4 linked regions of the Drosophila melanogaster genome follow. Changing the gene in region 3 together with the main gene of any one other region gives a genetic interaction. Each region holds a gene or a part of one and is shown on either strand. Other genes may lie near its edges. The genes, in order: tsr, ssh, Pax and bs.

Region 1 (7,261 bases), on a different chromosome or scaffold from region 3:
TGAGCGAGAAGAGTTCCCTCTCCACAAATTTGTTCGATTTTGCAGGGCAATTGCGCTTGAATTCCTTCACAGGCGGTTTCTTGGCCGCATTATCGTTAATATTGTTGTTGGACATGTACAGCTCGCATTGCTGCACTATTTTATCCAATTTTCGAATTTCGCTCAGTTCCACGCAAGATTTGTGGGACATTTTTAAGTCTGCAAAGTATAGAAACGAAAAAGTGTTGCAAATTATAATCAAACATTCGCAAAGCTCAGAATATCCGGATTCGTAAGCAAATTCAAATAAATCTTCGCTTAAAAACAACTTAATAATAAATCCAAAATTTCCACTTACTCCAGATTGAAATTGGCGAAAACTGCGATTTCTTACCTAATGCACTTTCTTATTTACTTGCAAATCAAAACAGAACAGGTATGACATGCACGCGGAGAAATCAGGAGTGGAAAATCATTTTCAATCAATTAAAAACACTTCAATTCGATCTTGTTCGTTACACATACTCTACTTTTTAAATATCATAGATAAAATAAAAAAATGAATAGATGTATGTAAATACATGGCATTTTCATTTCGAAGTCAACTGCTTTATAAGACCAACTTTTTTTTCCCGGTGTAATCAGGCTTTGCTTTTCTGAAATTTTCAGACATGCGTACTGCTTTCGGTTTTCAAAGATTCGAAACCACCGTGATTTTCGAACCATTGTTATTTTCCTTCTCGCATTCGGTCACACTATTTTCAAACGTAAACAATTGATTTTTCCTGCTAAACAAAAGTGGTTGAAAATGTCGGGAATCGCTGCCAAAAAGATTGCCGAAGCGGAGGACCTGGTGAAGCAGGCCGAGAAGAGGTATCCCCAACAAAAATATCCTTATAAAGGGGTTTCCAAATAACACCCATCTTTATTTGCAGCTTGAAGTTGTCCATGCTGAAATGGGTTCCTGATTACGATAGTGCTGCGGATGAGTATTCCAAAGCTGGTGAGTTTCACAAAGTAGGAGTGACTAATATCACCCAGAGTATCTATCTATAAAAACATTGTGACATCAATGAGATATGTAAATACTATGAATTACAGCTAACGATTATCCCAAAGTATCCATAACTTGCAAGATACACACATATTGGTGTACAATTATGTATCTTTCTTTTACATTTTTAATTGCAGCCACTGCATATCGAATAGCTAAAAGTTATGATAAGAGCAAGGAGTGTTTTCTGAAGGCAATCGACGCCTATAAAAACAACAAGTCTTGGTTCCATGCTGCAAAGGCATACGAACAGGTGAGCTTAAATTGAAGTTAATATAAGTGAAGTTAATAGGAAATTTAAACCCTCTAAATGTGCACATCTTCTAGATCATTTTGCTGTCAAAGGATGCCGATAAGCTACACGAAGTTGAGGAATACGCCAACAAATCGGCGAGTTTGTATCAACAGCACGGTTCCCCAGAGGCAGCCGCATCCGCCTTGGATAAAGCCGCCAAGTTAACTGAATCCAAGCATCCTGACATGGCTTTGCGCTTCTATCAGCATGCTCTAGAAGTCATAATGGTTCGTCCTATTTGACACTGCTCTAGTCAATTCCATTCTTAAACTATTAATTTTATACTTACCCGACAGATCGAGGATTCCGTCCGTCAAGCAGCCGAGTATGCATCAAAAGTTTCCAGGATACTGGTCAAACTAAGGAGGTATGTACCTATGATTGCAACGAATCACTTTGGGTATCCTTAGCTTATATCATCCAATCACTCCAGGTACGACGAAGCCACGAATGCGCTCAAAAAGGAGATCAGCTTGAATCAGCAAACGGAATCTTACGGACAAATTGGACGCCTAGTTGTGGCCTTGGTGATGGTCCAACTGGCTCGCGGGGATTCCGTGGAAGCCGAAAAGACCTTCAGGGAGTGGGGAAACTGCTGCGAGCCAGAGGAAGTGTCCACACTGCAGACCCTTCTGCAAGCCTTCGATGACGAGGATCCCGAGTTAGCTGCTAGGATGCTGGCATCCCCATTCATACGACATATGGATGTTGAGTACGCTATTCTATCTAAAAACATTCCACTACCTCAGGGTATACAGATGGAGAAGAAGGCTGGCGACACTGCTGCTGTGAGTATTTTTATTCTAAAAATGGAATTTGCAATTTTTGTTTTGTAAATTTGGCTCTTATTATGATGTTATCGATAGGCGATTGAATCTGCCTTTGTTGTCGATAGAAGACTTGGGACAGTGCGAAGCAGTAAACTAAATAGCTAACAAGAATTTCGTATTTTCTCTCTTTCTCTCTCGCAGGAAACCAACGACGCCGAGGACGAAGGTGGCTTGTGCTAAATTTCTTAATGTTCGGTCTGCTTGTTAGTCAAAATATATTTATCGTTAATAATATCGCTTTTAACATATTATATTAACTGTTAAATACAAATTTCATCGCAATCGTTGTACTAATTAATAAATACTAAGATCAATACTATACAACAAAGAATATCATTAGCTTTGGGATGAATTGATATTGAAGTAATAAATTGTAGCTATAAGTGTAAACTATGTATATATATTCTATGTTCCAAAACAGCGAATGTGTTAAGATTCAAATCTGTAAATCTTCAGCTTTATTACACGAAAGTATAGTGCAATTTGTTAATATAAATAAATAAATTAACTCAAACTATACTATGTATTTTAAAGCACCCTAAAATATTTGACATTTTGAAAGATCGAAAGTGTGCCATTTCACCGTTCCAAACGCTTCACAAACGTCGCGACGCGTCACGACGCATGTTGATACTTTGCCGGCGCCTGGCAACCCTAACCTGTGCGAAATAACCGACCAAATTGATTCGTCCGGTTGTTCGTGAAAGAAGGCGGAAGGTTAAACAGTATTTGTAAAATATATACTCGGCGAAGCAGCAATTTGAGAATTGTGAAAGCGAAAAACTACAGGAAAAATGGTACGTACACTTGGGACTCGCATTCAGACTCGGTGGTAAAAGCGGCCGGTCATTGTGCACTTTTGGAAGCGAGGTGGAGTGCAAATAATGTCTTCGATTCGATGAATCATATAAGCATCTCTCCTTTGAAATCTGTATATACATACATATTTAGATAAGTGTGTATATATCAATCATACATATATTTCCACTTTTTTTTGCCTATATGTTCGTTGGCCATATTCGGGCATATACATGGTCATGAATGTGTGCGTATACATATATACCAAATTAGTCATTGGTAGCAGCGGATATTACTCATTTATTGGAGTGTTTCATACTTCTCAGCCGCCACTCACACTCATAACTGGCAAATTCGCGAAAGGCAATCGCGAAAGAATGCTCCAAAGTGGCAGCTGGAAAAATGGAGCGATTAAAAATTGAAATGTTGGAAAGAGAAATGCACACACATTGGATTTTCATGTCTATACATATATATATTTTTACACACTTGAGCGTGTGTGGGTATACCGCTTTTTTTATATTTCGATGGCTATAAATATGTGCGTATGTATGTATCTGCGGGGCAATGCTTAATGCTTATTTTCTCGCAGACGCAAAATGTGTGTACATATGTACGTCCATATTACCATACAGAAATATGTATCAATATATATCCATATATGTATCTGCAGGCATACATATTTAAGGTGTGATCGTTTCCTTGCCGCCTTGCGGATGTTCATACATACATACACATGATGTTTAGCTGTGTGTGTGCAGCAGACGACTGTTTGCATGTGGGACGATTTTGATTTTCTCGACATTTTCCGAATATTATGGAAAATCGGGCATTTTCCACCGTTTTGTGAGCGCAACGAAATCGTGGGGAAACAGCCACCTCCCTTTTAGTTTTCTTTCTCCCTCTTGTCGGCTTGTTCTCACCCTTAAACTTGCCGGCACTTGTGAACTTACCCTTGAACTTTCCGAGCGCCGGGAAAAAAAGAAAGGAAAATCTAACTGTAAATGGTGCCACGCCCACCACTCCCAGATAAATCGGCGTGCCAAGTGTGCGCACGCCTTAACCGGTAAAAGTTCTGCGGTGGCAATGCAAATAAAGTAGCATAAATTATTTACCTTTATGTTTGTTATTGCCGGCAATCAAAGAAATAAAATTGCAAAGTCGAAAAGGGACGGATATACTGTCAGCTGAAGGTGGGCAGTTATGTCTGCCAGTCAGTTACATACGCACATATGTACATCAGTGAGGTACAGGGTGCCTCGTGTCTTATGTGGGCATAAAACATTGAACTTCACTTATTTTTTTTTACAATTCAACTACTTGGTACTTCATGAACATTTGTTTTAAGGGAATACTTGGGGAAACGCAAAGAGAGCACCCTGTATCACATACATGCACACACACTTGGTTGACAGTTTGGCGCGCATTGAACATTCAAAATACATTCTCTGATTTGCATCTCTACCTTCTCTCTCTCTAAAGGCTTCTGGTGTAACTGTGTCTGATGTCTGCAAGACTACATACGAGGAAATAAAGAAGGACAAAAAGCATCGCTATGTCATCTTTTACATTCGCGATGAAAAGCAGATTGATGTGGAGACTGTGGCAGATCGCAACGCCGAGTACGACCAGTTTCTAGAAGATATCCAGAAATGCGGACCTGGAGAGTGCCGGTAAGTTCCGCCGGTTAGAGACACCCAGACCCATCGAAACTAACCTAATTTAACATCTATTCGCTTGCACAGGTACGGACTGTTCGATTTCGAGTACATGCACCAGTGTCAAGGCACCTCTGAGAGTTCAAAGAAGCAAAAGCTGTTCCTTATGTCGTGGTGTCCCGATACTGCCAAGGTATGTGAATAGCCAGTTGCCAAGTAATGGCGCAGAACTCATTTCGATATCACACACCCACAGGTCAAGAAGAAGATGTTGTACTCCAGCTCCTTCGATGCTCTCAAGAAGTCGCTCGTGGGCGTCCAAAAGTATATACAAGCCACTGATCTTTCCGAAGCCTCCCGGGAAGCCGTCGAGGAGAAACTCCGGGCCACCGACCGCCAATAAACTGTACGAGCACTGTGCATTGCATTTAACAAACAAGGCATGCATGAAACAGCGATGGAAACACGTATCCTGTTGAGATCGCCAATTTGTATGAGAATTTTCTACATAATTTGTATTTTCAGTAGAAATAAAGAATGAAATATTTAACTTGACCAAGTCGCGTTTCCGCTGTGGTAAAAATCTCGTACCGCAGAATACACTTTATTATAAGGAGCAAAGATTACATTGTACATATGATGACGGTTCTAACTTATAGACCGAACGCTTAATAGCCATGCTGGATCACTAGAGTCTGGAGAACCTTTCTAATCTGGTGGCCAGTGTTCAGGCACGACTTCAAGCCCAGCGAGAAGGCCACCGTTAGGATGTCGATTGCGTGTTCCTGCAGCAGCACCGACATCTCCGGCAGATTGTCAATGGCCGTCGCTGCCACCGAGGAGTTCTCGTCCCGCAGGCACTGAATGTAGGCGTTAAGGGTGCACAGGTTGATGTCCGAATTGCCGGGATTGTGCTTCAGATGCCTGATCAGTATGATGAAGGCGATGGACCGGATCTGGGCACTCGGCGAGAATATAAGGTTGAGCAGTCGTTCGAACAGCTCGTTGATGAACACAAATCTCTTGGAAGTGAGGCACTCCAGCTCCTGCATGGGACCCAAGACCACGTCCTCCGTGTTGGACTGCTTTATGATCTTGACCAGATCGAGGAAGTGCGGCGATATGTCCGTGTAGTTCGACCGGCTGTACGAGCCCAAGGTTAGAACCGATAAGGGACCCCTACTGCTGCTTGGATCGATGGGTGTTTGCGGATTCACTTCGATGGGATCCTCTGTTACCACGGGCTTGCTGGCCGATGGCTTTACATCGAAATGCTCATCCAGATCGTACTCGTACTTAACTTCCTCGTCGTCCAATTCCGTCGCCGAGTGCGACTTGTGCTGCAGCAGGGCAACGGCCTGGACCAAAACCTGCAGTTTGCCTAGTGAGGTGTACTTGGCTGCAAGTTCCTTCAGGATGCCCACGTACTGTTCGATGAAGAGCAGAGCACTTGAGGGATTGTAGTTGATGTAGGCTTGGAGCATCTGCACAAACTTGTTCAGCATTTGGCAGGCCTCTTTTACGTTGCTGTGGTGCTTGAAGAAGTTGAAGTAGCACGACAGCGTGTTTTGGATCTCGTTCTTGTACGCCTCCTCAAAGATGGTTGGTTGCAGCAGCTCCAGCGTCCTCAGGATCTGTACAAATCGGTGGAAGTGGTGCTCCTCGCGCAGGGCCTTCATGCTGAGCTGGGCCCGACCTTGCATAATGGACGACAGCACGCCCAGCTGGCGAAGGAAGAGAAGCGGGTGGGAGGCAGCCAGCTTGCGAAGGAGCAGCTCGGTGTCCGTGGACAGGGTTTCAAAGTCCTTTTTGCCCACCAGACTGCCCAAGCAGGTGATCAGATTGTTGGACACCTTGTCCGCCTGGCAGCCCTTCAGATTCTGCAATTTGTACGCCTGCTCGCCGGTTTTGCCCGGTTTCAGAAACTTGATGCGCGGATACATGATGTACATCTGCTGGAGGACCTGCAGTTTCAAGTAGTCGGACACCGAACTTTTCTCCACGTGCTCCATTACCTTGACCATGAGGTCTCGTCGCTTCTCTGTGAGCTTAAACAGTAGGTTCATTCGCGAGCAGAGCTTGAAATCATAGTTTTTGCTGTCCAGCTTGACCTCGGAAAGCCCTTCGTGAAGGATGAAGTGGGAGAACGGCTCCAGTTCAGAAGTCCTCAGCATGAAGAAGGCATCCGGCCGTACGTTCTTCGACATGTACTTGTCGCGTCCCTTCCACAGCTTCGGATTGGTGGTCAGTGCCTCGAAGTAGTTGAGGACGGTGGCGTAGTCGTAGTCTTCATGGAAATTCTTGAACAGGTACTCGGCAATCCTTTCGATCGTGTCCCAGTTGGTTTGGTGGTTGATCAGGGACAACAGATAGAACCTAAACTCGCTGCAGGACTTTGAGAACAGAAAGCGCTCCTTCATTAGCTGAGTGGAAACTATCTCGGGATCCATTTCGGACAGCCAGTCGATGAAGAGCCCGTTGTGGAAGAGCTGGTCGCTCTTGGACTTGGCGACGGTCTTGCTGTCCTTGGTCTGATCGAAGCTTTGGACGATCGCCCGGACGATCCGTTTTCGTGCCACCAAGGCGGTATTCGCCTTAAACTGCTGCGCATAAATCTCGCGAGAGTTTCTCAGCATGAACACCAAGC
Region 2 (7,850 bases), on a different chromosome or scaffold from region 3:
GCACAGTAGCTTCAGATGTACAGGATCCCGACTGTCGTGCAACCCACGAGGCAGCCATCCGGGTAGATGTGTGTTCTCCCCGTCATCTCCGCCTCCCCCGCCGGAATTTATGTGGTTATTGATATAGTTCTGGTGGTGCTGGAGCACCGCCTGCGTGCGCATCCACTGATTCTGGTGCACCTCCCAATCGGACAACCGAATCCAATTGGAGCTCTGGGTGGCCAGCTTGACCATGGCACATCTGTCCAAGGCGGAGGCCAGACCCTTTTTGCCATATGAGTCGTGCGTGGGCGAGATGATGCCACCTACCACTCTGTGGGTTCCCTGCATTTCGAAGTGGTCCTTGGCTATCTCTGTTGACAAAAACATGCCGCGTAATTTTATCGATTATGTACCGCAGAATTTCACAATCTAGTTTAACTCACCGAACATCCGAAGGTGCATGGGTGTGGGTGGACTGAAGCATCCGCAGGCTATGAAGGCGATCCGCGGCAGCAGGCTTTTTGTTTCCTCGATGAATGCTGACATTTTCTTCGATTTTGAGCGTCTTTTAAAAGATCCAAACCGCCGGAAGCATTCGCTTGTTATGTTGTTCTTGGGCCAGCTGATTTTCACAATCATCTGTTCGGCTTGTTGTTATTTTCCAACACTAAACAGCTGTGCAGTGGCTACCACCTCTGACTACCTTTGACTTGTTATTCGATAAATGATAACTTAATGTAACTTAATTTTTTGATTTTTAATCATCAAAAAGGCAAGAGTACATAAAAATGTATTAAAGCCTGTTTTACTGATATATCAAGAAGTATACAAACATCACTGCGTTTCTCATTAATAAGTACTTTTTTCGGTGTACCACACGAACATTGCTTTCGCTTGCGATAGTTAGCCAGCCCTGCCAGAACGATTGCCTGACGATACTAGTGTTATCGATTAGAAATGGCGTCCTCACTGTCTTTCTTTTAAGAAAAATTCGTGTAGTCTATTTACCATTTAGCAGCGTTGTGTGTGTCCGTTAATTGTAAGGACACGCTGTTTCTTAGAGAGAACCGCCTGGCTAGAGTGTCCGGAAAGCGGAAACCAAGACGATCGCAGGACGAGGTCGCGGAGCCGACTGCAAAAACAACGGCCAGCAGGCAGCGATATGAAAATGCATTTGTAGCCTTAGCCCACAACACTTGCACACACACCACACACTCTCGCGCACACTCACACACAGGGAAAAGGAGGTGGAGCAGAAGGAGCCGAAGCAGGAGAGGATTGCAAGGGACACCGCTGCAGCATCGCCATCATCTGCGCCAGGTGGAACACGAGGGTCAAGAGGCGTCGGCGGGGGAGGAGGAGCAGGAGGTGGAGGAGCGGCTGCGGCGACGACGACGACGTCCACGACCACGGCAACAACAAATGGCGCTGGTGACGGTGCAGCGCTCTCCCAGTGTGGCGGGCTCCTGCTCGAATTCGGTGAGAGGAGACTTGATGGTTTTCGCGTGTGCGTATGCGTGTGTGCTTTGTTTTGGTCACCCCCACTCTGCCAGGAGAGCCAATTACGGGCAGGCTCTTTAGTGCGTGTTCCGCTTTTGGCCATGATCCTTTGTGTGCTCGGATGTGCTTTTCATGCCCAATGTTTATCATCCGCCAGCTTGTTGCTTACGCTTTTTGGATTTCGACGTTCAACGTTCGCGTGTGGGCGGTATGAGGCAGCGTCATCATCGTCATCGGCTGTGCTGCGCTGCGCTGCTTTTGGTGTAACCCAAGCAAATCCGCAGACGTCGCGACGTCTATATTTTTCAACAGACTTTTGCATTGCCTTATTTGTCGTTTTTGTCGCTTTCCGCTTACCGCTTGTTTTTGTTTTCTTCGCCGCCCCACCGCCCAAAAATAGTTCGCGAGACCTTGACGTCCGCCTGCACAGAGGGAAAAATTAATATCGGGGGTTGATCAATTTAATTTTACAAAACGTTTTAATTCAGATATGCTCAATATGTCAAATCGGTATTTTTGAACACATAAATTAACATTTTATTATTTCTAAGAAATCAGAAAATATAAAAAAAAAAAAAATACTTCACTAAACCGGAATCTTTTTCGAACTTGTGACCCTTTTCTCAAAATCAGACGGTATTCAGTTGAACAATCAGATTTCTTGGAACTGCAGATACAGCTTTGCTTCTTTTCCGCCCTTGAAGTGTAGACTATAATCAGGAGTTTATCTTACCCCTTTGCAAAATAATGAGCATGCAAGTTTGTTCTTTGCCAGACGACATCCTTATATTTAGCCTAACCCCACGGGTGAGGTGCAGCAGGATAAGGTATTCTTAAACACCGAGTAAACAACTTTCCTTTCTCTATAACATCAGGATGGCGAGTCCGAGGACGACGAGGGCAATAGCAAAGGAAACGATCGCAGCGAGTGCTTCTTTGCCGGCAAGGGAACCGCCCTGGTACTGGCTCTTAAGGATATCCCGCCCCTGACGCAAAGCGAGCGTCGCCTGAGCACCGACTCCACCCGCTCCAGTAACAGTACGCAAAGCAACAACTCGGACATCCAGCTCCACCTGCAATCAATGTTTTACCTGTTGCAGCGCGAGGACACGCTAAAGATGGTGCGTATCCAATGTAAAATTACTTTGTCTATCTTTTAAACATATCTTTCTATTCCTATCAAAAGGCTGTCAAGTTGGAGTCACAGCGGTCCAACCGCACGCGCTATCTGGTGATTGCATCGCGTAGTTGTTGTCGGAGCGGCACCAGCGACCGTCGGCGCCACCGGATCATGCGTCACCACTCGGTAAAAGTTGGTGGATCCGCGGGAACAAAGTCGTCCACCTCCCCGGCGGTCCCCACGCAGCGTCAGCTGTCCGTTGAGCAGACCGCCACAGAGGCCAGCAGCAAATGTGATAAAACAGCAGACAAGGAAAACGCAACGGCGGCCGGCGACAACAAGAATACCTCGGGCATGGAGGAGTCCTGCCTGCTGGGCATAGACTGCAACGAGCGGACCACCATTGGCCTGGTGGTGCCCATCCTGGCGGACACCACAATTCACCTGGATGGCGATGGGTAAGACTGGGCATTCATCTCGTAAGAGTCATGCACTCATAACTGCCTAATTGTCGCTATTAACCTTGGGAATTATTTATAGAATTAATTTAAAAATTAGCCGCCCCTAATCTATACACAAATCGGTGTCGCCTTGACCAATTTCCTAGTTGAGCGGTGGCATTTATGTCGCACATTTGTTTCCAATTTATCTTAAGCTATTTTAATAATAGCATGGCAGAGTGTATTTGTTCTGATAAACGTGTGATGTGCATTTCCTTAATTTCAATGGTTTATCTTATCTTGCTTTCAGCGGATTCAGCGTCAAAGTGTACGAAAAAACGCATATATTTAAGCCGGTCTCAGTGCAGGCCATGTGGTAGGTGCCTCCTTTGGAGTCAGATCCCCTTCAGTCACAAATTAAACCCTTGTTTCTTTCCAGGTCCGCGCTGCAGACGCTGCACAAAGTGTCGAAAAAGGCTCGTGAGAACAACTTCTATGCCAGTGGACCCTCCCACGACTGGCTATCCAGCTACGAGAGGCGCATCGAGTCGGACCAGTCTTGTCTGAACGAGTGGAATGCCATGGACGCGCTCGAGAGCCGCCGACCACCTTCGCCTGATGCCATACGAAACAAGTAAGGGTTCGGTACAACTAATTATTTACGGTTTTAATTCCTCTTTCCCTTGAATGCCATAAACAGACCCCCCGAAAAGGAGGAAACCGAAAGTGTCATTAAGATGAAGCTGAAGGCCATCATGATGTCAGTGGACCTGGACGAGGTCACCTCCAAGTATATACGCGGACGCCTCGAGGAGATCCTGGACATGGATTTGGGCGAGTACAAGTCGTTTATCGACGCCGAAATGCTCGTTATTCTAGGCCAAATGGATGCCCCCACCAAGATTTTCGAGCACGTCTATCTGGGATCAGAGTGGAATGCCAGCAACTTGGAGGAGCTGCAGAAAAACGGGTATGTTTAAGAGAAAAAAAAGGCCACACTATTGATATCCTGGGAAAATTGGCTAAAATCAGCGACAACTTATTTTCATTTTCAGCGTTCGCCACATCCTGAACGTGACGCGGGAGATCGATAACTTCTTTCCGGGCACCTTCGAGTATTTCAACGTTCGCGTGTACGACGATGAGAAGACGAACCTGCTCAAGTACTGGGACGATACGTTCCGCTACATCACGCGGGCGAAAGCCGAGGGATCCAAGGTGCTGGTGCACTGCAAGATGGGCGTCAGCCGATCCGCCTCGGTTGTCATCGCATATGCCATGAAGGCTTACCAGTGGGAGTTCCAGCAGGCGCTAGAGCACGTGAAGAAGAGGCGCAGCTGTATAAAGCCCAACAAGAACTTCCTCAATCAGCTGGAGACGTATAGTGGGATGTTGGACGCCATGAAGAACAAGGAGAAGCTGCAGCGCAGCAAGAGCGAGACGAACTTGAAGAGCACAAAGGACGCGCGACTGTTGCCTGGTAGCGAACCAACGCCCCTCATTCAGGCTCTAAACCAGGCCAAGTCGAAGTCGACTGGTGAAGCGGGCGTAACACCCGATGGCGAAGAGGAGGATGGTTCACGCATGCACCGGCGATCCATCGCCCAGAAGTCACAGCGTCGCATGGTTAGGCGCTCGAGCAGCACATCACCCAAAACCCAGACGGCTGTGGTTACCAAGCAGCAAAGCCAGTCTATGGAGAACCTTACGCCGGAACGTAGCGTGGCCGAGGAGCCAAAAAATATGCGCTTCCCAGGCAGCAACGGCGAGAACTACAGCGTCACCCAGAACCAGGTGCTGCACATCCAGAAACACACGCCTCTGTCAGTGCGCACACGAATTCACGATCTCGAGGCGCACCGGGCGGACCAGCTGCCACAGCAACCTGTCTGGACCTCGCTGACAAAACTGATTACACAGACCTCTCACTTGGGAAAAAGTGTCAGTGGCAGCAGTAGTGGAAATATTGACTCGCGGCGGGATTCTAGCTGTTCGGATGTATTCTCCTCGCAGGTGGACAGTGTTTTTGCCAAGGATGAAGGGGAGAAGCGCCAGCGTCGAAAGACGCACTCCTGGACAGAGTCCTTGGGTCCAAGTGGCGGCATCGTCCTGGACCCCACGCCACAGCAACAGAAGCAGCAGTCAAACGCCATTCTGCGTCCCCGAGGCACACGTCAGCGGGAGCTGCCTTCGCGGCACGCAAGTTGGGGATCAGGAGACAACCGATGCTGTCTGCCGCAGAGGACCAGTTCCGGCTCCTACTATGACTCCAATCGCAACACTACGGCCATCTTCGAGGGCGTTATCCAAGACCTCAAGCGCAGTTCCAATTGCAATGTAATCGAAGGAGTCGCCGTTGCTGTGGAACCGATAGTTGGAGTTGGCGAGGGCACCGTAAAGCGCACCAAGCAGAAGCTGGAAGAGAGCACCTCGCTGAAAAAGCGCTGCCAGGAAGAAAGCCAGGAGCTGCTACTCGAGGCTGTGGATGCTGGGCAGAGGCGGTGCCCAAGCCTCTATAGGAGCGCCTCCTCGGCGCACAGTCCGCGGCAGCGTCAGCCACTACGCTGTAATAGTGAGGAGCTGATGCACACCAGCGACATCGAGAACAAGAACACCACGCCAGGCGACCATGAGGCGACGGTAGTGCTGCGCGTCCAGGGACAAACGCTGGCCGACGATCAGCGCATCTCGGGCAATGTGCAAATACTCAAGCAAAATTTCGAAGCCAAAGCGGGAGTGGTGGGCACAGGAGGAGGAGGAGGCGGTGGCACTGCAGCGGGATCGGGCAGTAGTTCAACAATCGCAACGTCGGTATCGGCGGTGGCCGGAGCCTGCTCAGCGAATCCCGGCAAGAAGACGACTAGCCACCAATCACTGCCATCGTCGCCGGTGGCGCAGCATGCCAACCACGTGTCCGCCGCCTCCAACTCCAACTCCTCCGCCTCCAACTCGTCCGATTCCAGCGTAAGCGAAAATTGTGATCGTAATGTAAAAGGTCTAGTGCATAAATATCAAACCACTACTTCCTGCAGTAGCCAGGCGGCCGCCACCCCCACAGTCGCCTGTGCCCCACTGCCACCCGCCGGAACCGCCAGCAACATCAGCCACTCCTGCAGCACCACTACCACTACTAGCTTCAAGCAACGCCCGCTCTCCTACTACGACCGCTCGCTGTCCAACAGATCCACGCATGACTATAGCGACAGTCGACCGCCACCCGCGCCCGTCCGCGTCAGTCACAGCAGCAACGTTCAGCACCAGCAACAGCAGCAGCAACAACTGCAACCGGAGCAGCATCAGCAGCAGGTGCAGATCCGGCGGTTGGCGCAGCACGGGAAGACGCATCCGCTGAGCAGGCTAAGTGCTCCGAAAACAGGCTTTAACACCGCCGCCTACAACACCATGTAAAGGCCATGCTCTGCTTAACAACATGCTAACTGCAAACTGCAACATTCACATACCACTTGCAACTTGCAATCCATACCCTGTAGCCACTAAGGATCGTCCTCATCCTATCGCCTGCTTTACTTATTTATATACTCGCCCGCTTTCGACCATTTTGTGTTTTTTGTCCAACAATCGAACACCACCACCCCATCCATCCCCTCCATCATGCCTCGTGTTTGTTGTCTTGTTGTGTAAGGCGTCCATGAAAGCTTCTAAAGATCTTGTGTCTGCAATGTGTGAATGGAACTATTAAGATGACAAGAGAGGGCAAACAAAACAACCTATGGAAATGAAACTGTATTTGTACTTTTAAATTACTTGTAACTGTATACATATTTATTTTATATTATGCAAGAACTGCCTACGAATAAACGATTTATTGTATATACGTCATCGTCTTGTCTTGTGAGTGTCCCTGTGCCGTCCATGTGCCATTCACACCACAACTCCCATGTGTTGCCCAACAAACACTGCCCTCCGTTTTTACCAGATTTGTATTTGCAGCCTTATCCACATGATCCGCTCCTTCCGCTACTCTTGGGCGGAGTACAAGAAGTGATCCGGCACATGGAGCACCGACTGCCGAGGCCGCGGCCCAAAAGTTCCCACCTTGAACACTTGTATTTTTTGCCATTTATCAGACCACATATTTATAAATAAAAATGTGTAATCCAATTTCGAGCGCAATCTGTTTTACTGTTGGCCATGAGTCACCTTTGGGTACACACATAATTTAATAGTGACCGGAGATATGAATTATTTTCACATATTGTATAATTACAAAGAAATTAACAATTACTATTTAATATAAATGTAATTTGATGTAGTTTGGGGATTTTAAAGTTAAATGTAGATATAGCAAGGTGTGTATGGAAGGAAAAAATATATGGGTTCTAAAAAGTTTTTTTTTTAACAAAATCCTTATCGATTTGAAAATAATAATCATATTTCTAAATATTGTTTAACAAAATCCTTATCGATTTGAAAATAATAATCATATTTCTAAATATTGTTTAAGCTTTCTAACGGCACAGTGTTTGAAAAAGATTTTTTCAGATCGCAGATTATCGTTGCCTATCGCCCATCGATATGTGTAGGAGGAAACGCAACCAACCACCTGGTAACACTGACACTCACACACCTGCAGATGCGCCAGCACACACACACAGAACACACACGCACACAGACGCGCACTGAACTTCCACTACAGTTTCTTTATTTTCTGCAGGAAAATTAGAAGCAAAACGACACGAAATTCGCAGTGAACTCGCGGCGGACTCGCGACCGTAACGTAATCGGAATCTCGGTGGTGATCCGGAGGCCAAGTGCACACCGTGCGATGCTAGCCACTGGCCAGCAAT
Region 3 (7,400 bases):
CGTCTCCAACTCGCGGCGAAATCCACCGATACTCGCCATTCGGTCGCTGGCAACAGCTTAAAATTAGTCTCCGGCCAACTCCGCGCTTTTCAGTTGCGGGTGAACAGGAAAATAAAGTGTTTGCGTGGACTTGTCGCTCTTCGCTTTCAATCAGCATCAATTAAAAAACGCGTGTGCTTGTGCCAAATAAATCCAGAAAACTGAGCATTCCAATTGGACAAGAGCGGAAAACTACACGCACACTAACGCACACAGGGCGGAAAAACAACAACACCATCGCCATGGACGATTTGGGTAAGTAAGTGGTGGTCCACTTTTCCTCGGGGAAAAGCGACTTCCTCAAGCGGAGCATTCCACAGCATAAACCGTGTGACGTAGGCAAAAGCCGCAAAGATAATTCTGCGACTTCAAGGTCAGTCGCTAATTGGAGTTAATTAACATGTAGCTGAGGATTCTGCCGTTGGCCGCCAGGTGGCGACACAGGAAGTCGAAAATCTCACGCTTGAATAATTTTCGTTTACAGTGAAGAGTGGCTAAAACGTACCTCACGTGTTGAATGGCAACGTGTGTTCTGTGTATCTTTTTAGTTATTAATCTGTTATTCACTTCTGTTTTAAGAAATTGTTATTATGTAAAAAAGTTTTGAGTGATCTTCAGTCATTGACCGAACAAGATGTGTTATTTGTTTAATATATTTCCCAATATACAAAAATATTTATTATTGAATATTTCTTGAAACTCAATATTTACTGTTTTTCGAAATTCTTATCGTAAGCATACAATCATTAATCACGATTAAAAATGGTTGTGTTACGTGCTTTAAAATTCTTGATGATGAATTTCAAGTGCTCGTCTTATCTTTGAACCCGTTCATATGTACATGGGTCCATACATACATATGTACATACATACATACTTATGTACATACATACATATGTGCAAAGTGCACAAGTAAATGAATGAGCTTTTAATTCGGGAAGTGGCTATTGCGATAGCTGTGGTCCGATTCGCGCATTCCTTGCACTTTTATGAATAATCCTAATTCCTTGAATCGAACATAAAAGCATCGCGCTCAGCACTTCCAGTGTGAAATCATTTACAATTCTAGAAAGCAAGGAGGGTGTGGTTTCTTGCAGCCCCAAGTTCGAAACCCTTGTACTCATGTGAATGATCTGGTCTGAGAGAGGCAGCTTAATCAGCCGGGCTGTATTTGCTTTCTTCGCTGCCCCACAGTGCTCTTTTAGTCTCCATCAGCGAAATAAAAGTCTACATGTCGTCTCACTTTATTTTCTTTATGACACAATTCTTCGCTGTTTCGGAATGTCTTTTGATAAAAATATAAAAGTGAAGCAAAACGAAATCTGCAGCCGAGAGTTGTGTGTCCAGAAATTCTTAAGAAATGACTAAAGGCCAGGCCACTAACACTTATGAAGAATTCCAGCTGACTTGCCCTACACCTACGCACAGTGGTCTAAGAGCCCGCTAAAATTTGCTTATCGGCTGGGCTTGTAGGATTCTAGATCTTAAGAAACTTTCATATAGAGCTTTTGCAAAATCATGTTAAATAACAAATAATATTTCAGATCACTTTTTAGATTACAATAATATAATAATAACTATAATACTGAAATTCGTTCGAGATCTTAAAATCTCAGCATAAATATTCTGCCCTCGAAGCTTTACTTCGCACAGGAAGTAGAGGCTTCAGCTTCATCTCCAACTTCATCTTGATCTTCTCCAGCAACTCAGTTGCATCAATCTTGCTTTGCTGCCATTAGTGAGTGCGCGCCCACTTCATCGCCCACTCGACACGCAATGTCTTCTGTTCGTGTTGCGTGTGCGCACTGTAACAGCAAAGACGAGATGATCTGTCGAGATCGGTTAGGTCTGTCTGGGCATTGAGCGTCGATGGCGTTTTCCGCCGAGGGGAGCACTCCAACTGCAGAGCAATGATCGCTTATGGTTACGGGGAAAGGTTCGCACAGTGGGACGAAAGGTTAAAGAGTTTTTGAGATCCCATTTCTGCCTTTTCTGTGATCGTATCAATGTATATCACAGTGTTCATGGTCATGAAAGTATATAATTAGTTATCTTCTATGTTTGTCGATAAACAATTGTAAAGCCTAAGCAGCTGTTAAGTGATAAGCATTTCCAACATGACTGTCCCAGAGGAATTTTGTTTATACCAATTTTCACTGTCATTTTATGAAACATTTAATCTTGCGGATTGTCTGTACAATTGAAGATAGTTTCAGAAATGTTTTGATATTGGATGCCTTTGACTCACGTTTTCGTTTATTCGTCAGCAACGAAGGGGTTGGTTTTCTTGGCAGCTGGCCCACTGTTCACACACCCAAAGGAAAGCTCCAATCGGGCGACAATATTTTCGTCCGCTCTGGTTTCCTTTCGCTGTGCCTCCCACTTGCGGTCGAAATGCTCAGCCGCAGGCCGCAAGCCAAAATGAAAAGCCACTCCAAGTGAAAAGCTACGTGGTGGGGCTCTTTCTCTCTTTTAACTGGCTCTCTTGGCACTGAAAATAAAATACGACAATATGGACTCTGATTTAAAATACATTTTTTTTAAATTCGATTTTTCAAAATTAGTTTACTACTTGTTTACTAGTTTATTAGTTGTTTACTCAGAAACAACAATAATCATAATACTGGTTTCACAAGCTGTAACCGCTGATACATACTTTTTAAACATTCCTTTAGATATATATTACTTTAGATATAGCCCCTATTACGAAGCTAAGCTATCGTTTTGAATATACTATGCCTATCCATACATCCATACATCTATAAATCTAAGAAGATTTTTTCGCAGTGCAGTTTGTTTACCAGCTCTCAAACGCTTCGCTCTCTTGCTCCCCCGCTCTCCGTGAGCAGCTGCGAGAGAGCCGGAGCGCTCGTCTATTGGAGCCTCAGCATCGGGCCCCCCTTTGGATTTCAGTCGATTGCGACGCTTTTACTGAATCGCGAGCGCAGCGCGTGTGTTTTTCGGAGTCTCTCGATTGCGGTCTCCCAACGGCGTCCTACGATCTCTGGGATTAATATATAGAATATGTGACAACACACTGCCAAAGGTGCAGGCAAAAGTGCACAGATAACGCGATAGAATATACATATAAGAAACCAAGCCTAATCAAAACAAAAGGCAACGAAAAAGTGTTTAACGGCAAACTACGGCGGGAAAAAGTTGATGAAAATCAGTGGAATCGTGTTAGTGGCAGGTTGGAGCGTGGGAAATTGTTTACTTCGAGTGCAAGAACAGTTTGCAGTAAAAAAAAAAGTTGACAAACATCAAAAGATATCTAGCACTAAGATAAACGATAAAGCAGGAATGCCAGAAGCAGTTAGCTAAAAAAAATAATATAATATAATAAACTGGCCAAGATTTATGGATCCGTGTCACTCGCCTTAAGATTCCACTAACTCTTGGCAAATCTTTTCGGCGCGTTGCTCGCAAAACATTTCAATTTCATTAGCATTTCCACTAATTATGGAACTAATTATCAACGGACAAGACATTCGAATATATGACATATTTGCCCAGATCTGGCAGAGCATAGAATTTTGGTTAGCCCCATTAATTTTCGCCTCGGGGCCCCGAACGGATTAAGATCGTGGGTGTGTTGAGATGGAAATTAATTCGGTATTTCTGTGTTTTTCTGGAGGGAAATGACCGAAATAGCCAAACAAACATAACAACAGGCAGCAAAAGCAATTAAATTGTGCCCACTTAATCTATTAAAATTATGACATTTTTCACATATTTCAAGCAATCGAAGCCAAGTGCATTCTCACGAGTGGTGGTGGTAGTGCGATGGGGGGGGGGGGGACTTCCTTCCCCTTCCCCTCGTAAAAGTATCTCGAGTTACGACAGCAGATGGAAATGCTGGAGAATGATGTAAACTCGGCTGACATAGTGCGCACAAATGAATATTTTGTTGTTGGGGGGTTCTGCACTTACGAGAATCGCTTTCGTTTTCTCCCCAATATTTTGTATCTCGCAGATACGTTCAGTGGATGCCATTTGTTTACGACCAGACAGCTGCTGTCTTTGTCTCTCCGATTGTCTGTGCGTTTTGAAACCTCTAACTAAGTATCTACAGATCACTCTGGATCTCTGGATTATTTGGGTTTAAAAGCTCGTTTTAAGCCCCAACTACTTAGCACCTCTGGATTCTCCATCATCGTAATTCATAGTGCAGTGAGTTCATCGCCAGGTTTGAGTTCGATTTTCGTTTGCTCAGCGAGTTGCTCTGTGTTTTGTTGTTGTTGTTCCTTGTTTCTGTTCTTTCAACTGGAAACAAGATTCTTATCGCCCAGCCATACAAATTCAATTAGAGTGTGTTGTTTCGATTGCTAGCGAAAGATGAGTGGCTTCGATAGATTTCGAAATCGTTAATTGTTAGCAGCGAGTTGATGTGCAATTAAAACATTGGGTTAGATTCATTGCTCACAAATATTTTGAAATAAATAAGTGCAATACTATTGAATTGTTTGCAATCGACAAATATAACCAATTAAGCTTCCATTGAGCCAATCAAAAGACATTGATATTTAATTCCAGAAAAGCCTTTTATCTGCTCAGTACGTAGGCCATTGGCCAATATAGGGTCTATATATCTTATCAAGACCCCAAAGGCCCCAAAAGTCAGTGGGCGATAGCTCGTCGCTTTTTCCCGAACCTATTACAGAAGTGGAATGTGAAAAGCACGCACAGTTTACAGCGGCATAAATTGGCCAAGTTTATTGAAAGGCCCGGCTAAAGGCCACTGAGCGGTGAAGAGAGATCGGTATCACCCACACAAATGAATTTCCCTGGGCTGATACCCACTTTTCCGTTTGGCCACGCATTGCGTTTTCACCTTAGCGCCTTCGGCAAGGTCAACACTCGCATTCACACACATTTTATCTACTTACTAATAAAATATTTATATTGAGATCGCTAGGAATTTCCTGCAAAATAAACACGAAATTGTGCCTTTGACTTTTGAATTTGACTTCGTAGAAGGAAGACCGAATCGAGAACAACAATTTCGGCCCGACGTCATTCCCAAATGGACTGAGTAATGCCTCAGGTGTGGAGGTAAATGGATTTGGACTTGACTATAGCCAAGACCTGGAAGGAAAGTGAGATTTTTATTTTCTTATTGCCCTTCCTTTTGGCAACGATCTGCGGAAATCTCTCGTATTTTCAATTAATTTCGCTCGATTTTCCCAGTTTAGCCTCCCTTTGTTAGACGACGAAACGTCGCCTTTGATTTGCTAGAAATGTTTTTTTTTTTTGTTTTTTTATTTTTCTTTTGGATATTTTTAGTTGGCGATCATTGGTGTTGACGTAATTTGGCAACCTTGATTCCCCGTTCCCTTCTCGATACTCGTATTTTTGGCCCGGCTCGCTTTGTGTTCGGTCGGTGAATTTATGTTTATTATTTTTTACCTTTTTCCAATGTGTCGTTATTTGTTTGGAACGAAAATCTAAAATGTGGCCTGCATGTTCATTTTGGTATTTTTATGCTTCCATAAATCTGTCTTTATAGACCGTTTGTTGGCTCAACTAAATCTACAGGCCATCGTAAATTGAGTTAGTTGCATAGATCATCTATTGAGATTCACCCACGCACATTGGGATTAGGAAGTCAGAGTAACTGGTCCGGACTTTTTGGTCTGATTTATCGCTCTTGTTGGTGTTTTTATGGATCTTTAGATACGGTTAGATTGATTTGCATCTTCAGTGATTACGCTATAAAGAACCATTTTTGACTTCTCTATCTTTTTGATCTTTAGATACGGAAGATTAAGGTGCATCTTAAGTAGAGTAATCACTTCAGATGAAGATCATTTGACTTGTTTGACAGTGGACTTTCATTGACTTAACTAAATATCTTTGTTTCGAGTATTGATTTAGGTAATTTATTTCTTAGGTTTGAAGCATGATGAACTGATGAACTGACAGACAATGTTTACATTACCAGTAGATTTATTTCTCGTCTTTTTGAGAGCTCTTCATCATATATGCAGCTTAGATCATAGATCTCTCACCTCACCACATCCCTTTAATCTTTTAATGCGGTATTTTGTCAGTCTCAGTCAATTAATAGAGGAAATTCGAATGCACAAAGCACTCTCCAGACAACAATTTCCAACATTAAATCACTTGGACTTCCACGGGGGCAGGGAACTAGTTTCTTTCAATTTTTTGTTTCTTCTTTTTTTTGTGGACTGGGGCAAAGCTCTGATAGACGGGCGAAGACAACGACAACTTCGACGACGACAACTACAATATCCACTCTCTGACAGGCTAACCCAACGCAAACAAAAACGACAAATCCGTCGTCGAGAGCCCCGAAAGGCCAAAAATAAAAATGCGCTTATAAATAATTCAAATAAAACATTTTGCCGGTGGCGCAGTGCAACATCGTCAGCCAAACCTGCAGACCTGTTTGGGGAACATAAAATGTCACTTAACATATTCTCGATTAATCATTAACGTTTCAATCAAATCAGTGCGAAAAGCAAGTGAATCTCGTTCGACACCATGGATAGAACAATGTACGGAAAGATCGATCCGGGTGCTAGGCAACCATATCGTACGGCTCGCAGCAAGGGTATCCTGCCAGGATGTAAGTATATATCATTGGTTCCACCAATACTTCCCATGCAATATTTAAAGATGTAATGGTTTCCGGTAAAAGTGTGTACCATAATATAAGTTCAACCGATTAGTATTTGCTAGCTAAGAAAAATTGCAGCTTTATAATTTTAACCATTTAGAAAACAAGTTGTTTTGATGGAAGTCCAGAGTTTGATCCTAGTTAAGCTGGCAAATGAAGGCGACGGAGCTATAGCATGGGAGGTCGTTCATCTGGAAGGAGGTTGTCGACAACCACAGCTCGACACATCGATCGTAGCCACTGCTGTTGTCCGGCTCTCCGGCGGACCAGTTAAGAAACGGAGCCTCTAGACCAGTGGCCTCCGACACGTATACGCCCCGTTCGCCGAGGTCATTGATGGATAGCCAATAGCTGTAGGCTGGGTGAAGGTGGGGGCTAAGGAGCTCCAGTTCCTCTCTGCTCTCCAAATTGAGAAGAAATCCGCCATTCTGACGACAGTGGTTGCTTGCCTCGAACCAGTTGGTCTTTGCCAACGAAATGTAGTACTGCTTTTCACCGATCTCTAGGTTATCTAACAAGAATCATTGGTTTATATTGCAGTGTAACGACTTTAAAGGCATCTGCATATAGCTTATACGAAATCTAACCTTACCAATATTAGTTATTTTCATAATAACTTCAAGTAATAACTTCAGTACTTACATCGGTTACCCAAGGGAGATGACTCCAAAGGAAGAGCACTCCAGCATACCAGGAACAGCAGGAGAAGTTTGACCAT
Region 4 (7,610 bases), on a different chromosome or scaffold from region 3:
CGACCGAGAAGCAAACGCTTCGAGAACATTTATTAATATTAATGAAATTGTTGTACACATTGTTGGCTGAATTGCGATGGGGATTGGGTATTGGGTATTGGATACCGGGGATCGCATCGCACCGCATCGTATCGTATCGGATAGGATCGGATTGGATTGGGCTACCCCATCCCTGCCAGACATCGATTGGCTGCCAATTTTATGTGTAACATGTGTAAATGCAAACAATTGACACGGTCCGAAAGCGGAATCTGAATCGGATTCCGATTATTCTCGTTCTGATTCCGATTCGAAATCGCATTCGGATTCTGATTCAGATGCTGGTTCTGAGTAGGTGTCGATTGTGCGGCTAGGAAGGAAGGCTACTTGGGCACCGCGAGCAGGCCAACAATTCATGTCAATTTGAATTTCGAACAAAGACAAAAGGACACGACTCGGATTCGGGCGAGGATTGGGGTACGAGCGCGTTGACAGGACAAGAAGGCAGCCCCAGAGACCGCGACCGCTCCGTCCAGATGGAGAGTCATTTGTTAGAAGCCGATTGTTGCCTGTTTTCCCCGTATGTGGCAGAGGCCACAGCCTGTTGCATGTGGCCAAAAGGCGAGCCGACGTGGAGCCTCTTGGCCCGGCTTTCTGGGTCTTATCTGGGCACAATCTGCCGACGAGGCTGCGGCCTAAGCTTCCGTGCTGCAAGCTGGCCCCGAAACAAACAATTCCCAAGCCCAATCCCCAATCCCCAATCCCAATCCCAGGCCTCGTGATTTCAATTTAACACCTTTTGGCGGCATTTTGCGCCCGGCTGCCCTTTTAGCCATGGCCAATTGTTGGGAACTTGTCGATGGCTTCTTGTTCGATGGCCGTGCATTATGCAGAAGCCAGAAGCGAAAGCTGCGAATCCATCGATGATGCGGCCCACGCAATTAGGCTGGCCAGCAAATGAGATCACTTCTGGACATTAGCTCACTTTTCACTCTCGTCGCCTTTTTTGGCCTTTTGACCACCGCCACCCACGCCAAAAGAGCCCCGGCTCTCGGCCAGATCGAAATGACCAAAATTGGCCAGTGGAAAGCATGCCAGCAGGTTGGCGCGACAACTCTCTGGGCCAAGTTCATTGGCCGCAATTTGTTGGTTGGCTGCTAGGGATTCGAATTGGGATTGGGATGGCGGATTGCAGATTGCCTCTGCGCTTTTTGCTGCTACCGCTGGTAGCGCCAAGTCAAAATCCCATTGTCTGCCTGTCAACTGTCCGCCGGCTGGACATCGATGAGGGACCGCATCAAAGTCACCAAAACGATATTTTTTTGGAACGCATATTATGGAAGCGGCCTTTTGTCCCGGGCGTGCGCCTGTCATAAGCTCGGCCCCGAGAATCCACGTCCCAGGGGTCAAATGTTTTGGATACCCTCACCGATAAGGAAACACCATTTCGGGATCAACTGAGATTGGGTAAAGAGGAACAGTTTAACAGGTTTGGGTTGCTCACTTCCTCTAATTCAAGAATCATAAGTTACTTTGCGACTTAATAATGAAAGTAAATAAACTTCAGTAAATAAATTAAACTTATTAAACATTTAGTTTATACTTGACATTTTATTGCCATTCTAGCGTACAACAAGCTAAACGTTTTCCCAAATCTCCCCTTTTAAATTTAAGTGCTCCAACGTCTTTGTTTTTGGTCTGCTTGGGTCAAATATTTCATAAGATTTTGTGTCTTGGGCAAAGATCGTGCTGAGATCGTGATTTAGCGCCGCGATGTTGATGCTTTTTGTCTGATTTTGATCGGGGCTTGGTTCAGCTAGTGGCCAGGGAAGTCTATTTCAGAAATGTGAAAAATTTCATATACGGCCCCCAGATCGATGGAAAGCAGCAGGAGCTAATGCAGTGGCATTATGTAAGTTTGCGTGTGAAAATTGGTCATTTGAAAATGCCAAGGCAACGTTGCCAGTTGCAGCGACTTGTGGGCCACCATCCACAAGGAGCACGCATCAATTGTTTCGGGGGAGGAGTGCTCCGTGGGCAGGAGCCTCCTTTGAATGCAATTGCGGCGGCAAATTAACATTTTATGAAGCCGAAAACAAAGGCAACGCGGAATCGTGGGCTACCGCGCTTACACAACGCCGCCAAAGCGGCCAACAGTTGGCCAAACAGACGCGATCTGGCCAAAAGCAGAGGATCTGCGGCTACTGTTCTAGAGATGAGCAGAGGTACTTCGCGGGCACAGTGGTTCGGGTTTTTGAGTCTTAAATCAAATTGTTTAGCATTAGGTTTGGGATCCCAACATAAGGTGGCCTATAAGCAATTTCCAAGCAGAATTTGTATTGGTCCAATAAACATACTTCCAAGTGGAACTAATAATTGGTAATGGACACAAGAGAAAGATTTGAATATTTGAACTGACGAGTAATGTACACAAATGGTCTAACTGTTGGATATATCCATTGGGTACTTGATATTCCGAGATGGTTCTCCTATTGTGCGCCAGCTATCCCGACCACTGTGCCGATGGCCAATTGACAATAAATCCTCGCTCTTTCCGGAGGCAGAACAATGCCAGAGATGTGGGGGAACTGCTGGATTCCGTCGCAACTGAATCCCTGAAGCATTTATTAATTGCACATGCGCTGGAAACGTGGCCCGATGTCAACATCCCAATTGCAGCGCCAATCGTGGCTGGAATGGGGATTGGGATGGGGATCGATTTCGGTTTCGGGGTTGGGTTGAAAATATCGTTGGGGATGGGGATGGCGTAGGGGTGCTCCAGCGATCTTACCTTCTTCATTATGCCCGTCTTGCGCTTGGAGAAGGTCGTGTAGCGACGCAGCTTATTGTCGATGTATTCCATTTTGATTTTGACACGTCCCTTTGTCTTTTTGCCGTTGGCAGGCGGAGACTTCTTGTTGGGCAGCGGGTTGTAGTTGTCTACGCTGTCGTCGACGGCTCCGCTGGCCACGTTGTCCAGTCCTTGGAGGGTGAGTCCGCCGGACGAGCGGTGGTGATCCTCGTAGCAGTCGCTGCCGGAGCGCTTAAGGCCGCGTTGCTGCTGGGGATGCTGCTGCTGCTGTTGTTGCTGCTGCTGGTGTTGCTGCTGCTGCTGTTGTTGCTGCTGCTGCTGCTGGGAGGCGTGCTGTGGGCTGTGGAGCGTTTGGCACTGCGGGGCAGGGGGTGCTCCTGCCGCGGGATTGGGGCGCTGCATCGGCGGAACGCCGCCCATGTTCTGGAGCAGGCCACCGGAGGGCGGGCGGCCCGCCCCCAGGGCCGGGTTGCCGTACATGTCCGCCGGATCCGCCAGGCTCAGCCCTATGCTACTCATCGAGTAGTTGAGATTGTACCGCGAGTCACCTCGCGTCGGATCCATTCTGAGGTAAAAGTTCTCCACCGTGGAGCCGTAGAGATCCAAGGCACCGCGCGCGTCTATTATTGCGTTTGGGTTTCGGGTGCTGGGAATCTGAATATCTAGAATCCGGCCGCGGCACACTTTTCAGATCAGATCGCTTTATATTCCAAAAATAAAACCACACAGAAAACACTCAACGCGCGCGTTTCGCTGGCGTTTTCGGCCTTTTTGGCGGCGGCGGGCGCGTTTCTGGGGCGGTTTTTGTGCCCGTCTGCCTGGGGGCCAAGTTCTCAGTCGAGGAAAACGCTATAACTTATTAAAAACCCGGGTTTTTTTTGGCCAAGAACGCGAATTTAAGTTTCTTAAGTGCACGCACACACTTACGCGCGCACACACACAGGAAAACTGACAGCTGACAGTCCTGCAGTGTTGGAATGCGGCTGAAGTCCAGGGATGCAGCGCTCGTGTGTTGCGCAGTGTGGTCGTTTGGCGCGGAATTTGAATTTTGGTTTGTGTTTAATATTTAGGTTCTGGACCGCTTTTATGGCTTGTTTCCAATGGCTTTAAGTTTCTTTATGGCTTTTAATTTCATTTAATTGTATGTTATTTTTTGGTTGCAGTTCTTTTAGTATATTTTATTTAACTGGTGTTAAGAGTTTTTATCTTTGTTTGCCTTCTAAAACTTGTGATTTAATATTTAATGTTTACTATATGTGTTGTTTGTTGAACTGGTTTTAGATGATTTACCAAATCCTTTCTCGCGTTTTATAATTGTTGTGGTTTATTGGGATGTTTGCTATTTTCTAAAAGTTTTCGAAGGTTTATCATTGAAGACGTTCCTTCTCATCGCTGGCTGATGGTGCTTTATTCCTTTGATTATGGCCTCTATAAGTTGTTATCTCCTTAAGTCTTCCGCTTGCTGTCTGCTTGTCTCGAACTGATTGCATTAATATCCGTTTTTTGTAAAAATTGTTTAAGTGTTTCTGGTAAAAAAAATACGCCTAACTTTGTTTCGACTTCGTAGATTTAGTGCAGTTATGGGAAATATTTGTGTTTTTGTTTGTTCCGTATGCGTTGCAGTTGGTTTGCTTATTTGTCGCTAGGCACTTGTTTGGACTGTTTACTTTATTTGTGGCGATTTTATTGTGGTTCATTCCAAATACGAATTCGAAACGATTCGACGGGCTAAACTTGCGATCGATAGCTGGCGTTCGTTGTTCTTCAGATGGCGTGCAAATACCTAATAAACTTCAGCGTATTTCCACCAACGATGTTCGCTCGATATTCCAAACTTGGGCGAACCGGTTTCCTCTTTTCCTAAGAGCGCCGCGCTCTCTTCGATTTCGAACGCGAAGAGTACGGAGTACATAAAAACAAACCCCAATCCCCCATTCCCCGACCCAATCCCCACCCCCGTTCGGCGTCTTCCTGCTGCCGTCGTTCATTTTGCTGGCTTTATGGCTTAATTAATTAGATGGCCACGCCCCCATATGCATACCCATTCGCTGCGCATGCGCACACATAGATCGTGGATTTGGGATTCATATGGCTGGGTGGCTCATTGGCTCCTCCCCTTGAAAACTCGTGGTTGAGTTCGGTAATTACATACGTGGCGTTTCGCCTTATCAGCGCTGTTAATTTAGTTAATTTGTGATCTTCTGATTTTGTGATTTTCTGATTTTCTTATTGCTGATTTTGTAATTTCTTTTGCGACATTTCGCAGGCTGAGCTTTGCGGGCATCTTGAGTGCCCGGGCGCAGCAACAAAAAGCGATACACTTAAACTATGCCAGGAATTTCTTAGCCCCGCCAATATGGTCAGAATGCTCTAGAGGATTTGCGTGGTGGGCCCACTTGTACACAGGAGCACGAGTATTTCGCCATGTCCTTAAATAGAGGTTCGCGGAATGGGCAAAGGGGCGGAGTGGGCATGGCCACGTGCAGCGACTAGCAGATAGCAGCAGATATGTATATAGTAAGCGCAGATAAATCGATACACTCACTGCGCCCCGATCCGCGATCGAAGATGATGCATTCCCCAGCTGCAAATGGTCATCGTTGCCTTTTCCAGCCATCGGTGTCGTTGTCGCCAGCTTGTCTCTTCCGCGAATAAGCCAGTCCAGGTCCCGTGTCCAGCTCCACGACTCCGACTCCGAGGTCGACTCCGATCAAGCACCAGGACCAGGACCACAGCCAACTGCAGCTCCGCTCCTCTCGCATTTAATTAGATGGAATATAGGAGCTCGATGGTTTGTCTACCTGCCCGGGCTGCCTAATGATTTAAATTAATCATAATGACTGTCAAAATAGAACGTTTGCCGCTGCCAGCGGATCATATAAGGATCGATCCACGCAGCGGGCACCAGGTCTTCTGGACACTACGGGAAAACGGATGCCACTTGGGTCACTTGAATCTGAATGATGCCTTCCACTTGTATTCCCATTTCCCCAAGACTGCGAAAAGAAAGAACAATAAATAAAGATGAAGTTTGATGATCCCCACGCATTCCTAATAATTCCGTATTTTATATGGATTAGGTTTACAGATGGGTCATATGACATATGCATCTCTAGCTCTGTGACACTTTTTTATTGTGTAATTTGGTTTTAGTTGTTTGCTAAGTATTTCTCCGAGTGCATTTCGATGCAGCTTCTGGTCCTGCTGACATTTCATCATACTCACACGGCCTGCTGGCTGTTGGCTTCTTGGCTTGTTGACTTGTTGGCCTGCAAGCCTGGTCTGAGGTTCTCACAATTGTAGACGCGTTCTGTGCAGCGCTTACTAATTGGTTAGTTGGCTGCAGGCTGGGCTCTTCAGCGTCTGCAGCCATCCAGGCCCTCTTTCTCCGCCGTTTTCTCCTCCACCGGCAGTAGGAGTCCGCTGGCTCCAGTGCGGCTGTCTTTCTAGGCAATCGTCAGCCTGTCTGGAGGAGAACTCTTGGCTTCTCTTGGAGGCTTCTGGCCAGCTGGGAACAACTGCAACATGCTGTAGTTTTTGCCATCGCACTTTCCGCGGAATTCTCCCCAGCTGAACATTTCTAATACTTAATTATTTGCTTGCCGTTTTACGTGCATTTATTTGAGAGGGGACGAGGGGAATTAGGGGGCTGCTCCTGATGCTGCTGCTCAGAGTCCGCATTATGTAATCCTGCAGAGTTCACCTTCAAAACGGTGGACAGATCATCTAGGCATACGGATGGCATAGGTATATTCCCAAATATATTTATAACTCGAGAGGAGCGTTTGTTCCATTTACGATTCCGAACAACTTTTGATTTTGCAGCTAGCCATAGCCATAGCCACATATGTGTATATTTATATATATAGACTTTTTTACTATTTATAGCGCTACTTGGGCATTTGCCTTAAGCCAAAGCCAAAGTGTTTTAAATAGTCGAAATATGTAAATTTCCTTTTTTTTTGTCTTTTTCAGTATGGTCATGCGGGAAAGTATCTGCGAAATATTGTGTTAGGATTTCAAGTAAAGCACGAGATTCGGATGGCAAGTCATTGGTACGACTGGTGATAGTAGAATTGGATGCAATTAAGATAGCAAAAAAAAAACGAAAACAGTACAAGCGACTCCCCAGGTATTATTCAAAATAGAATATCTATTATCTGCGCAGCAAGCTGGTTGATTTACACACTCAAACCACCGAGCACACACACTCCTTATACAGATGGGCCCGAGATCGGCCAATCGGAATATATCTGATTGAATGCAAGAACGTGGCACATGAGCACATGACTGCGGTGTATGATCGCCGGAAAGCGAGTGGCCAAGAAACTCAGGTGTCTAATTGGGCGCTGGGGTGACAATGAACCACTTAACCAAGCCAGGTCCAACTGCAACTCCTGCTCCTGCTCCAGCGCACTAAGCCAAAAGCCTGAGATTGACAAAGCCGGCAGAGAAAACCGCCAACGCCAGCTCAAAAGTCGAACCAATTGGCAATTGGTACAGGCGATCGCAATGTTTTTGCCTCATGAATAACGCATAAGGAGCAGGGAGTAGGGATTGGATTGGGTTGAGAATCGGGATCGGGATCGGAATCGAAATCAGGATCGAGCTCTGCGAGACTTCGGGGCAATTGTCTGGTCGCTTGTGTTACAATTTAAATAAAATTGCGGCTCCCTGGGCGAAAACAAAAGGAAAAGCTGGGGGTTTTGGCCTTACGATTTCGCTTCTCAGTTCTCTGTTCTCAGTTCTCAGTTCTGGGCATTGGTTTTCTTTTGGGCCGAAGTGCAAGTACCGTTTGTGCACAGGAAACAAAAGCACC

Evidence for each region.
Region 1: of Pax (region 3) and tsr, changing one suppresses a phenotype caused by changing the other (phenotypic suppression), as found in Drosophila melanogaster (one study listed by BioGRID).
Region 2: of Pax (region 3) and ssh, changing one suppresses a phenotype caused by changing the other (phenotypic suppression), as found in Drosophila melanogaster (one study listed by BioGRID).
Region 4: of Pax (region 3) and bs, changing one suppresses a phenotype caused by changing the other (phenotypic suppression), as found in Drosophila melanogaster (one study listed by BioGRID).

The regions. Positions count from the first base shown.
Region 1 is NT_033778.4:24,042,360-24,049,620, reverse strand, and holds tsr (twinstar), read left to right. Parts: upstream 1-2,815; 5' UTR 2,816-2,952; coding exon 2,953-2,955; intron 2,956-4,438; coding exon 4,439-4,629; intron 4,630-4,701; coding exon 4,702-4,807; intron 4,808-4,870; coding exon 4,871-5,017; 3' UTR 5,018-5,168; downstream 5,169-7,261. Other genes in the region: sei (seizure), read right to left, coding at 1-190; gammaSnap1 (gamma soluble NSF attachment protein 1), read left to right, coding at 788-852, 915-982, 1,171-1,286, 1,361-1,555, 1,625-1,695, 1,762-2,116, 2,300-2,338; IntS1 (integrator 1), read right to left, coding at 5,283-7,261. UniProt on the Drosophila melanogaster protein: Exhibits F-actin depolymerizing activity and regulates actin cytoskeleton dynamics. Required for cytokinesis in both mitotic and meiotic cells and for aster migration and separation. Promotes cell motility during ovary development and oogenesis.
Region 2 is NT_033777.3:24,938,029-24,945,878, reverse strand, and holds ssh (slingshot), read left to right. Parts: upstream 1-1,983; 5' UTR 1,984-2,229; coding exon 2,230-2,289; intron 2,290-2,357; coding exon 2,358-2,603; intron 2,604-2,668; coding exon 2,669-3,060; intron 3,061-3,352; coding exon 3,353-3,418; intron 3,419-3,481; coding exon 3,482-3,676; intron 3,677-3,742; coding exon 3,743-4,012; intron 4,013-4,097; coding exon 4,098-6,450; 3' UTR 6,451-6,876; downstream 6,877-7,850. Other genes in the region: Nmnat (nicotinamide mononucleotide adenylyltransferase), read right to left, coding at 1-353, 426-621. UniProt on the Drosophila melanogaster protein: Protein phosphatase which regulates actin filament dynamics. Dephosphorylates and activates the actin binding/depolymerizing factor tsr/cofilin, which subsequently binds to actin filaments and stimulates their disassembly. Required for axon growth.
Region 3 is NT_033779.5:19,419,100-19,426,499, reverse strand, and holds the start of Pax (paxillin), read left to right. Parts: upstream 1-2,947; 5' UTR 2,948-3,085; exon of another isoform or gene 3,086-3,221; intron 3,222-6,308; 5' UTR 6,309-6,546; coding exon 6,547-6,631; intron 6,632-6,732; exon of another isoform or gene 6,733-6,819; coding exon of another isoform or gene 6,820-7,193; intron 7,194-7,324; coding exon of another isoform or gene 7,325-7,400. Other genes in the region: lectin-37Db, read right to left, coding at 6,820-7,193, 7,325-7,400.
Region 4 is NT_033778.4:24,339,835-24,347,444, reverse strand, and holds the start of bs (blistered), read right to left. Parts: upstream 4,585-7,610; 5' UTR 3,356-4,584; coding exon 2,771-3,355; intron 1-2,770. UniProt on the Drosophila melanogaster protein: Required for the formation of intervein tissue of the wing. Acts in a dosage-dependent manner to suppress wing vein formation and promote development of intervein cells. Might play a role in the proper formation and maintenance of the trachea.